2 linked regions of the Neurospora crassa OR74A genome follow. The protein of the gene in region 1 purifies or fractionates together with the protein of each later gene. This does not show direct contact. Links are inferred from orthologs where the notes say so. Each region holds a gene or a part of one and is shown on either strand. Other genes may lie near its edges.

Region 1 (4,429 bases):
GACTTGGCATCCTGCGCGCTTTGTGGCTGGCGCCTCTTTTCCCAGCAGACAGTTGCTAACGGCATCTCGCAGCGATTACATTAACCCTATTGACCTCTGCAACCGCCTCAACACTTACATCATCCCCGAAGTCGCTGTCCACGGTTTCCTGACCTTCCTCTTCCTTATCAACGGCTACTGGCTGCCTCTCGTGCTCAACCTGCCTCTTCTCGCCTGGAACGTCAAGAAGTAAGTTTTAACAACCGCTTGGATGGCAATATCCGCAGCTTGCGCGAATCGGATAACTAACCATGCGGTGCAGGATCGTTGACAACGCCCACCTTCTGGACGCCACTGAGATCTTCCGCAAGCTTAATGTCCACAAGAAGGTATGTCATCAGCTCAACACAACCAACCGCGTCCGCTGTGGTGGAGCTTCAAGAACTGCTTCTAACCGATCTGCGCGCTCTCTAGGAATCTTTCACTAAGCTCGGCTTCCATCTCATTCTGTTCTTCTTTTACTTGTACAGCATGATTGTGGCCCTCATTCGGGACGAGGCTCATTAGGAAATGGCCGTCGCTCGCTAAGTTGAACTGGACTTCTCGTTTCACAACGATACCGCCACAAAGTCCGTCGGATCGGACGCGGAGCTCTCTCATCGGAGCTCGTGCTCGCATCTTTACCACCACCGTTTTCTCGAAAGTACATAACGGCGCTGGGCACACTGGTACGCAGTACTTCAAACACACACAAACAAAAAATATATACAGTACAACGACAGGCAAGCAAGCAGGCAGGCAGGATCCTCGGCGACGGATGCTGCAAAAGGACGGGAAGGGTTCATGAGCGTAACATACGACGACTTTGACAGATGGCATGGGAGGGCACGAAGCTATGAAGAGATGGCGGGAATGATTATATTATTGGATGGCGGGAGAAGAGGAGGACGAATTGTATGGTCTTGGCTTCTATAATGAAGAGGAAAAGCGACTGACGGGCTTCGGGAAGGTGGCAACTGCCTTGCTGTACGCCTCGGTTGGCATGACAGCTGGATAGACGGGGCAAAAGGAAATGATGAAAAAGAGTTTACGACCTCTTCAGCGGTACCAATTGGGTGTACGCAGGTGAGGAGAGGGAGAAATCGCGTGCTGTATTTTACTGCTTCCTAAAGTATGTAATGAAACGGGACGGGCTACGTCATGAAGATCATGGTCTGTTGCTGTCTTGTCAAATGTCAACACCGAGGGAAGGCAACGCGGGCCACATATGGAGAACCACGAACATGACTTTTTGATCCATAGACATTGGGCGCGTTGTTGGAATATGTACTCTCTTAGCAAGCTGTTGTCGTCCTACCAAGATGGAACCGAATATTCGGGTCATTGAACACTCTTTGTACTGCATAGTAGAGAGGCAAGCCAGAAACAATAGAGCTTGGCTCAACGCTGATCATTGTCAGCCCCTCCCTCACAAGCAAGCTGAGTCTCAGCTCCAAAGCTTGGTCCTTGCTCAACCAGAGTGCGACAGCAACCCGGTAAGTGGGTGGTATATGGCCCGTGCGCGCGTATATCGTAGAAGCTCCACTCTGAATTTGAGTTCCACTGTTCCAGACGTCAACCAATGCGCCCGGCCTGCCGCCAACGACTCCAAGAGGGTCGCATCCCATCTTCATCTCCAAAACAACAAAAACAACAAAACAAAAAAAACATTTTCAGGTTCATCAAGCGTGCGGCTGGCGAGCATACCATCACCACAATTTCATCAAGCCGCAGCAGAACTAAACATAATCCAAATAGCCATGGCCGACTTCAATGAATACCCAGCAAACCTGTCAGTCAAAGACGCCCTCATCGTCCGCCAAGTCGCCGAACCAGACCATGCCGTTGTCCCCTACACCGGCGAGGATCTAAGCCGACCGCGACTCGGGCCCGCCAACCCCTTCCGTGACGATACCGACTCGACTTCCACTGCGGTCGGCACCAAGAGGAAGAACGTCCTGACCGGTACTGCGGCCGAGACTTACATCAGCGAACACACTTTTCGCTCCAAGCACCGCGCCATCGAGCGCGGCGGTGGTCCCGCGCGCGAACAATTGGGGAGTACTGCCAAGAAGGCGGCGGCTGCAAAGCTGAGGCAACAGAGAGAGGGGAAAGGAAGCGCGACGATTGCGGATGGCGATGGGGCCTACGTCGGGCCATGGGCGCGGTACAAGAAGCAGGAATATGAGGAGGTGAATGAAGAGGAGCTGGGGAGTGGTGAGGAATATGAGATTGTCGAAGAAGAAGAAGGGGAGGAAGAGGAAGACGTGGTAGAGAGCGGGACGGTCGTCAAGGCGCCGACGAAGAACCTGGCGCGCAGGAAAGAGGTGGAAGAGCAGGGCGCGGAGACGACGACGTTCCATGGCACCGAGGAATTCGATTACCTTGGCCGGACATACATGCACGTCCCGCAGGATCTGGATATCAGTCTCACCAAGGACGTCGGGAGCGTCACGAACTTCATCCCCAAGAAGCACATGCATACATGGAGGCACCATGCCGGCAAGCCGATCACGGCGTTGCAGTTGTTTCCCAAGTCAAGTCACTTGGGTCTGTCGGGCAGCACGGACAGCACCATCAAGATCTTCGATGTCTATCGCAATCGCGAGCTGTTGCGGACGTATGCGGGCCATTCGAAGGCTATCACCGACTTGTCGTTTAACAGAGACGGCACCAAGTTCCTATCGGGCTCGTTCGACAGATGGATCAAGTTGTGGGACACAGAGACGGGACAATGTGTCAACAGGTTCAACACGGGCAAGACACCGCATGTCATCAAGTTCAACCCGTCGGTGGATCAGGGTCACGAGTTCTTGGCGGGCTTGTCGGATAACAGGATTGTGCAATACGACAGTCGTGCGGGAGCGGATCCAGTGCAGGAGTACGATCACCACTTGGGCGCCATCAACACCCTCGAATTCGTGGACGAGAACAGGCGGTTCATGTCGACGTCAGATGACCGCTCGTTGAGAGTATGGGAGTATGGAATTCCAGTCGAGATCAAGACTATCAGGTATGTCTTCTCTTTTTTTTCTTCCTCCCATTTTTATTCTCCTTACCAAAAGTAATCACATGCTAACATTTTCTCTAGTGAACCCGACATGTTCGCCCTCACCAAATCCACCCAGCACCCCTCGGGCAAATACGTCCTCTACCAATGCTCCGACAACTCCATCGTCGCCTACTCATCGGCCTCGGACAAGTTCCGCCAAAACCGCAAGAAGTCCTGGCGCGGCCACAACACCGCCGGCTCCGGCATCGGGCTGGTCTGCAGTCCCGACGGGCAGTTTGTCGCTTCGGGCGATACCGGAGGATACGTCTGCTTCTGGGACTGGAAGACGTGCAAGATGTACCACAAGATCCACGCGGACACGAGCGGGGGGGCGATCAACTGTGTGGCTTGGTCGGAGCAGGAGACGAGTAAGGTGTTTACGGCGGGGGCGAAGGGTGAGATTAGGATGTGGGATTAGACACTGTCCGGTCTCGTGGGTCATTGTGTGAAATTGGGCCATTGCTGAGGGATTTTGATGGCTGTCCTCAGGGATGACGATAGAGGAAGAAGATTGGAGCGTCGCGTCTCAGGTGAAAGCAGGCAAAGAACGAGCGACCGGAAAAAGATATTTACAGCATTGCTTGGCGTTGGGAGAAACATTTCGGTACTAATGGGATTGGACTGGCTTTTCAAGTGCAAAGACTTGATTTTGGAGCAGCAGCAGACACCAATCAAGACACCGGCGAACAGCCGATATTGATCATCCATTCCCGGACTTAATTCGTCTTGACTCAGTCGATTGAACTATATACTGGACGTGCACTGAAAATATGACAGTGGCTGGTCGACCGAGTATCTTTGTTGTAATCAATCGAAGTGCCGACGACTATCCCCTCTACATCACGGCGTCGAGGCTTACTTCCCAAGAAACCATGAACGTTACACTGCAGCCAAGTGTCTTTGGATTATTCGGCTGTTCATATTGGTCTGGTTATGTTACCCTCGCTGCCGCTGGTTATTCAAATGAACATTATCTATCATCTTGTGCACCGCACCGCTCAAGTTTACTTGTACCCTTCATGCAATTCCGGTTCTTCTGCAGCTATAACACCATTGTCGGAGTCATTGTTTTGCGCATCTTCCTCATACCCGTGGGTGTGTGTGGTTGGCTCATAGTGCCACCCGCTTTGGAAGAAAAAAAAAACACCGCCAAAGGATTCTCATCAAAACCAAAATACCTCCTTTCGTAAAGAACGAGGGGGTAGTTTCTATCTACTACGTAACTTAAAGAGAAAGAAAGAAAGATAAAAGGACAAAATGAGTTCGAGCAGGAAAAAAGAAACCAAAAAGAGTGGACAATACCGGATTCGAACCGGTGACCTTTCACAAAGGCGCATCTATGGAATTATGCGAAGCGAA
Region 2 (4,310 bases), on another chromosome or scaffold:
GGGGAAATTTACTGCGAGCGTCTTTGTTTTGTTTTGTTTTGTTTTGTTTTGGTCTGGTTTTGTGTAGGGTAGAGAGAGGGAGAGGGAGGGATGCATTCCCAGAAGAGGGAGGGAAGAAAAAGACACAGAGCAGAGAGAGAGATAGGAGAGATTGAATGAACAGCTCGGTACAGACTGATTGCCAGTGAAGACAAGCTTCGTCGCTCCCCGGTAAGCTTTTTGCAGTGTATATGATATGACTCGCATTTGGCGTTCACCTTGGCTCCCGCTTACCAAGCCCCTGGGTTGTGAGAATCTCGTAGGAGAAGAATTCACTGATATTGAGAGGGAGGTTGGTCATCGTACTATACATATTCACACGGTGCATCGAGAGACGTCCTCCAAGTACATAATAATGTTCAATGCTTCTTATTTTGAGCTGCTCGACGTCAGTGGCCATTCCACAGACAGTTGCCAGACATACCATGCCATGCCAGAGTTTAACCAACACTCAATTATTCACAACCTGACCACACTCTTCCAACACATCATTCAGCGGAACCCATTGGCCTTCGGCCCGTTGAGCGTCAAAGCATCCAGCTCTTCCCTCGTCCTCCTGTATAACTCCTGCGCCTCTCTCTCCCTCGTGCTCACAAAGCCCACCTCCTCACGCAGCGCCGCCAGCCGGTTCCGAATAGCGGCCTGCTCCGAGGACTGGAGGACCTTGAAAGCGCCCAGAGCGTTGTTCGCCTTCTCCAACGCCTCGTGAGCCTCACTGATCTTCTTCCGCAGCATTTCAGCCCGATTCTTGTAACCGCCAAGATGCAGGTTGAGCTTCTTCTCGAGCTTGTTGCCCTTCTCTGCCGAGGCGACGATTTGGTCAATGACCTCCTGCAGGTTAGGTTAGCCAGTAAGCCTTCGGAAGGCAGGAGGCAGAAAAGGGGTTAGTTGTACATACCTCAAGCGCAATTTGCATAGTGGAAATCTGCTCTTCTTCTTCATCGTCCTCATAGCATCCCAGCCCAAGCAAAAGGGAGCTGCTGTTGCTCTTTTCCCACACCGCTTGAACTTCTTCCGGCTTTGGTTTATCCTTGATTTCCATCAGAACCTGAAGCTTGGCCTCTTGCAACGCGGCGTCGTCGATTTTCTGGATCTCCAGTGCCCGGCCAGTTGGCTGAGCTCCCGGTAGAGGATACTTGGTGGCATCATGAGCTACGAGCAAGGCCGCTTCACGAGCGATGAGAACCTTGACAGGGTCCTCGGCCTGCGAGGCTTCCTTCAAGAGTGACTGATAATCGACTTGGACAGGCCGAGGCAGATCCCGCTGCATGACCTGGGTACGTCTCTTGCGCTCCAACAGCTCTCGCGCCTCCCTGATCTCCCTTTCTCGTCGATCACGTTCAGCAGCATCCTCCTCCAGCTGCTCAGCGGTCTTGGGCTCTTGCTGATCGTCCGGCAGCTCGAGCTCCCACTCGGTCTCTTTGGGCTTGGGAAGAGACGCGAGGCCTTGCTTGAGCTGGTGCCGAATAGACATCTCGCGCATCTTAACATCTCGGGGTGTGCCGCCCACCATGGACATTTCGTCACCGGCATCATTGAGAGCAAATGTATCACGGGGAGTGCGCAGTGGTGTTTGGCCGACGCGGAGGGGCGTGGCGCCAGGACCAGCTCCAGCTGCCCGCAAAGGGGTGGCTAAGGGGTTAGGGGTTGACATGACCTGCTTCCGCGGCGCAACCGACTCGAAGCCGGTAGAGCCCACCCCCTGGTGTAGAGGTGTGTTCTCTCCACCGAGCAGCGAGGATTGCGTCTCTGTTAGTGCTCGGATGTTGCGGATCTCGTTTGCGATGTGGTCTTCCTGAGCGGGGGCCATCGGTGTTCGGATTGGCGCATTGGTGTTGAGTGTCGAGTAGTTGTTGATCAGGCCACGAGTTGCGTCGTTGTCGCTTTCGCGAGCCAGCATATTTGCCCGTTCGCCAATCATGCCCATCTTCACAATTTCCTCCAACTCGCCTTCGCCGACCTGAGGTGCTGGCAGGACCAAAGCCCTCCGCTTGCTGCTCTGTTCTGCCTCGCGCATCTTCTGCAGTTGACCGGCCTTGAGGGCGGCTTGCACAGATGGGTCCTTGTCGCCCTTTCTCCTCTTGCCGTCTCTCTCGTCCTCTTCACCCTTGCGCTTGTTCCCAACCTGCTGCTTCTTGGGGTCGAAATGGGCGCGCTGGTACTCGTTGCGAGACATCTCCTCGGTGGTGTCATAGAATCCGGGAACAGGCTTCTTTTCGAATGGAATATCGGCATTGTAGTCCATCTGGCCCTGCTTCTTTGTCGTAACCTTGATGTTGATACCGGCTGTCTTCAACTCGCGACGCTTCTGGAGAGCGGCCAGTCGGCGTGACTCCTCCTGCTGTCGCTCACGGGCCTTTCGCTTGGCCTTTTTACCCTGTGTGTTGGCCAGACGCGCGCGAGCCTCGCTCAACATTTCTTTCTCATCTTCATCGAGATCGATGGTGTCGGGACGGGCGGGTTTCGTCTCCGGATCGGGGTCGACCTCGCCAGGACGTAGTTTGCGAACATCGTCGGCGCTGGGCGCGTGAGCTTCGCCTCCATCAGGGCCCGTCAGCCCAAGAGCGGACGCCTCCCTCTGCTCAGCTTCGTCGAGAAGTCTTTGGTATCTTTCCAGGCACTGGTTTGCGGTTCTTCCAACGATGGGGGCAATGGTACGCCATTGGGTCGGCATCAGCTTGGCGAGGTGCAGCAGCTTCTCATCCTCCTCCTTGCTCCATTCGATCTTCTTGATGCTGGGATCCAGCCATTCGTTCCATCTTGCCTTGCACTGCTTGGGCGTCTTGCGGGCCAGCAGCGACGAGACGCGGGCCCACTGGTTCAGGCCGTACTTGCTGACCGACGCCTTGAGGATTTCATCCTCGATGTTGGTCCACACACCTCCCTTGACGACGGGCATCTTGTCGCTCGGCCGTTATGGATACTCGTCGGGCGTTGTAGTGATGCGGGAGTCGTTCCGGTAGGTGGGAGGACACTCGGGGTTGGGGTTGTCTTGGAATTGGAATTGAAAGTGTTGAAATGTTGTTGTGTTGATGGGGAAGAAATCCAGAAATTCAAAGCGCTGGCGTCAAGGCGAACAATGGAATCACCCGCGACGCAACTGCCTTGGCGTCTTTCCCAGTATCAACTGTCAAGCGCTAGCCAACCTCAAGACCTTTTTGCGGCAGGCAACAGGTTCCCGCGCTGTTAGCATTTTTGTGTCCCATGCATGTGGTAACTAACAAGCGAGCCAAGCTCCGGGACCCCTGCCTGCCGTTAACCACTAACAGAAGGATGCCCCGCCCTTTTGTCGCGACACGCTGCTGCTGTTGGTCGAGTGGATGAAGCTTCCATCCACCATTTCTGGTTCACATGTCTTTCTTTCCTCTTACATTTCTCAACTCTTTACAGAAATCCCCAGAAAGAACATCAAATCGCTCCGAAACTGGACTCTTTAACCCAATTGCGCTCTCCAAAAGTACGCGTCTTCTCCGAGTACCAAAGCATTTACCCGTAGGATCACCATCGGGCAATTCTCAGATTATTCTTAGCATCCATAAGCTGTCGTCGATCAGAAGAGCTCCCGTCGGTACCTACTTTGGACTTGGAGTGCTCGCCGTTCGAGTCCAAACACAAGTCGACTTCAGGACAAGGACAGCTTGCGAAAGCAAAACTAATCACTTAGTTAAATATTTGTCAACGTTACTGCTAGCACGACGTCTGCCGAGCTACATATGGCCAGCGACGTAGGCTCTCCCCGAAGGGAGCAAACACCTTCCGGAGCTGCCACGACGATCCCTCAGAAGCGCACGCTCGAAGACGACCACAGTCCAGCAGTTCCATCACCCCTAAACCCAGATAACAAGGCCGCTCCAAGAGTCCAAATACAGGCACCCGAAGACACCCAGCAAGCAGCCGTTCTAAACCGCGAAAAGAGAACAAAGAAGGACTCCTTCAAGAAGAGGGAGGCCAAGGCAGCAGCAGGCGGTTCCGATAGTTCTAGAGCAACTCCAGACCCGAAGCAGCAACACAAAGAGCCCTTGATCAACGAATTGCTCCCCGCGCGCTATAAGCTCGCTCCGCCCAAACTTACTGATTTCGAGCCCGCGCGCGGTCCCGTCTTCACCAGCCATCATGAGGTTCAAGGGCCCGAGGGCGAGACCATCGAATTCTTTGATGCAACCGAACAGTATGTCTTATCTATATTTGCTCCTTCGCCATTCTCCATTCATGCGGAGCATATTCTGATTTGCCTTTTTCCTACAGTGTCTTCAACAAGCGAGCGTTCCATT

Evidence for each region.
Region 2: the proteins of NCU06921 (region 1) and NCU06994 purify together in Schizosaccharomyces pombe (affinity purification with mass spectrometry; 3 studies listed by BioGRID, with this or other methods). This does not show direct contact. The link is inferred for Neurospora crassa OR74A from reciprocal best matches to the Schizosaccharomyces pombe genes prp17 and cdc5.

The regions. Positions count from the first base shown.
Region 1 is NC_026507.1:771,657-776,085, reverse strand, and holds NCU06921 (mRNA splicing factor), read left to right. Parts: upstream 1-1,611; 5' UTR 1,612-1,778; coding exon 1,779-3,031; intron 3,032-3,109; coding exon 3,110-3,488; 3' UTR 3,489-3,827; downstream 3,828-4,429. Other genes in the region: NCU06922 (endosomal cargo receptor), read left to right, coding at 73-228, 302-368, 454-546.
Region 2 is NC_026504.1:4,815,637-4,819,946, reverse strand, and holds NCU06994 (pre-mRNA-splicing factor cef-1), read right to left. Parts: upstream 3,102-4,310; 5' UTR 2,939-3,101; coding exon 938-2,938; intron 871-937; coding exon 532-870; 3' UTR 280-531; downstream 1-279. Other genes in the region: NCU06993 (Ash2-trithorax family protein), read left to right, coding at 3,753-4,207, 4,285-4,310. UniProt on the Schizosaccharomyces pombe protein: Involved in mRNA splicing and cell cycle control.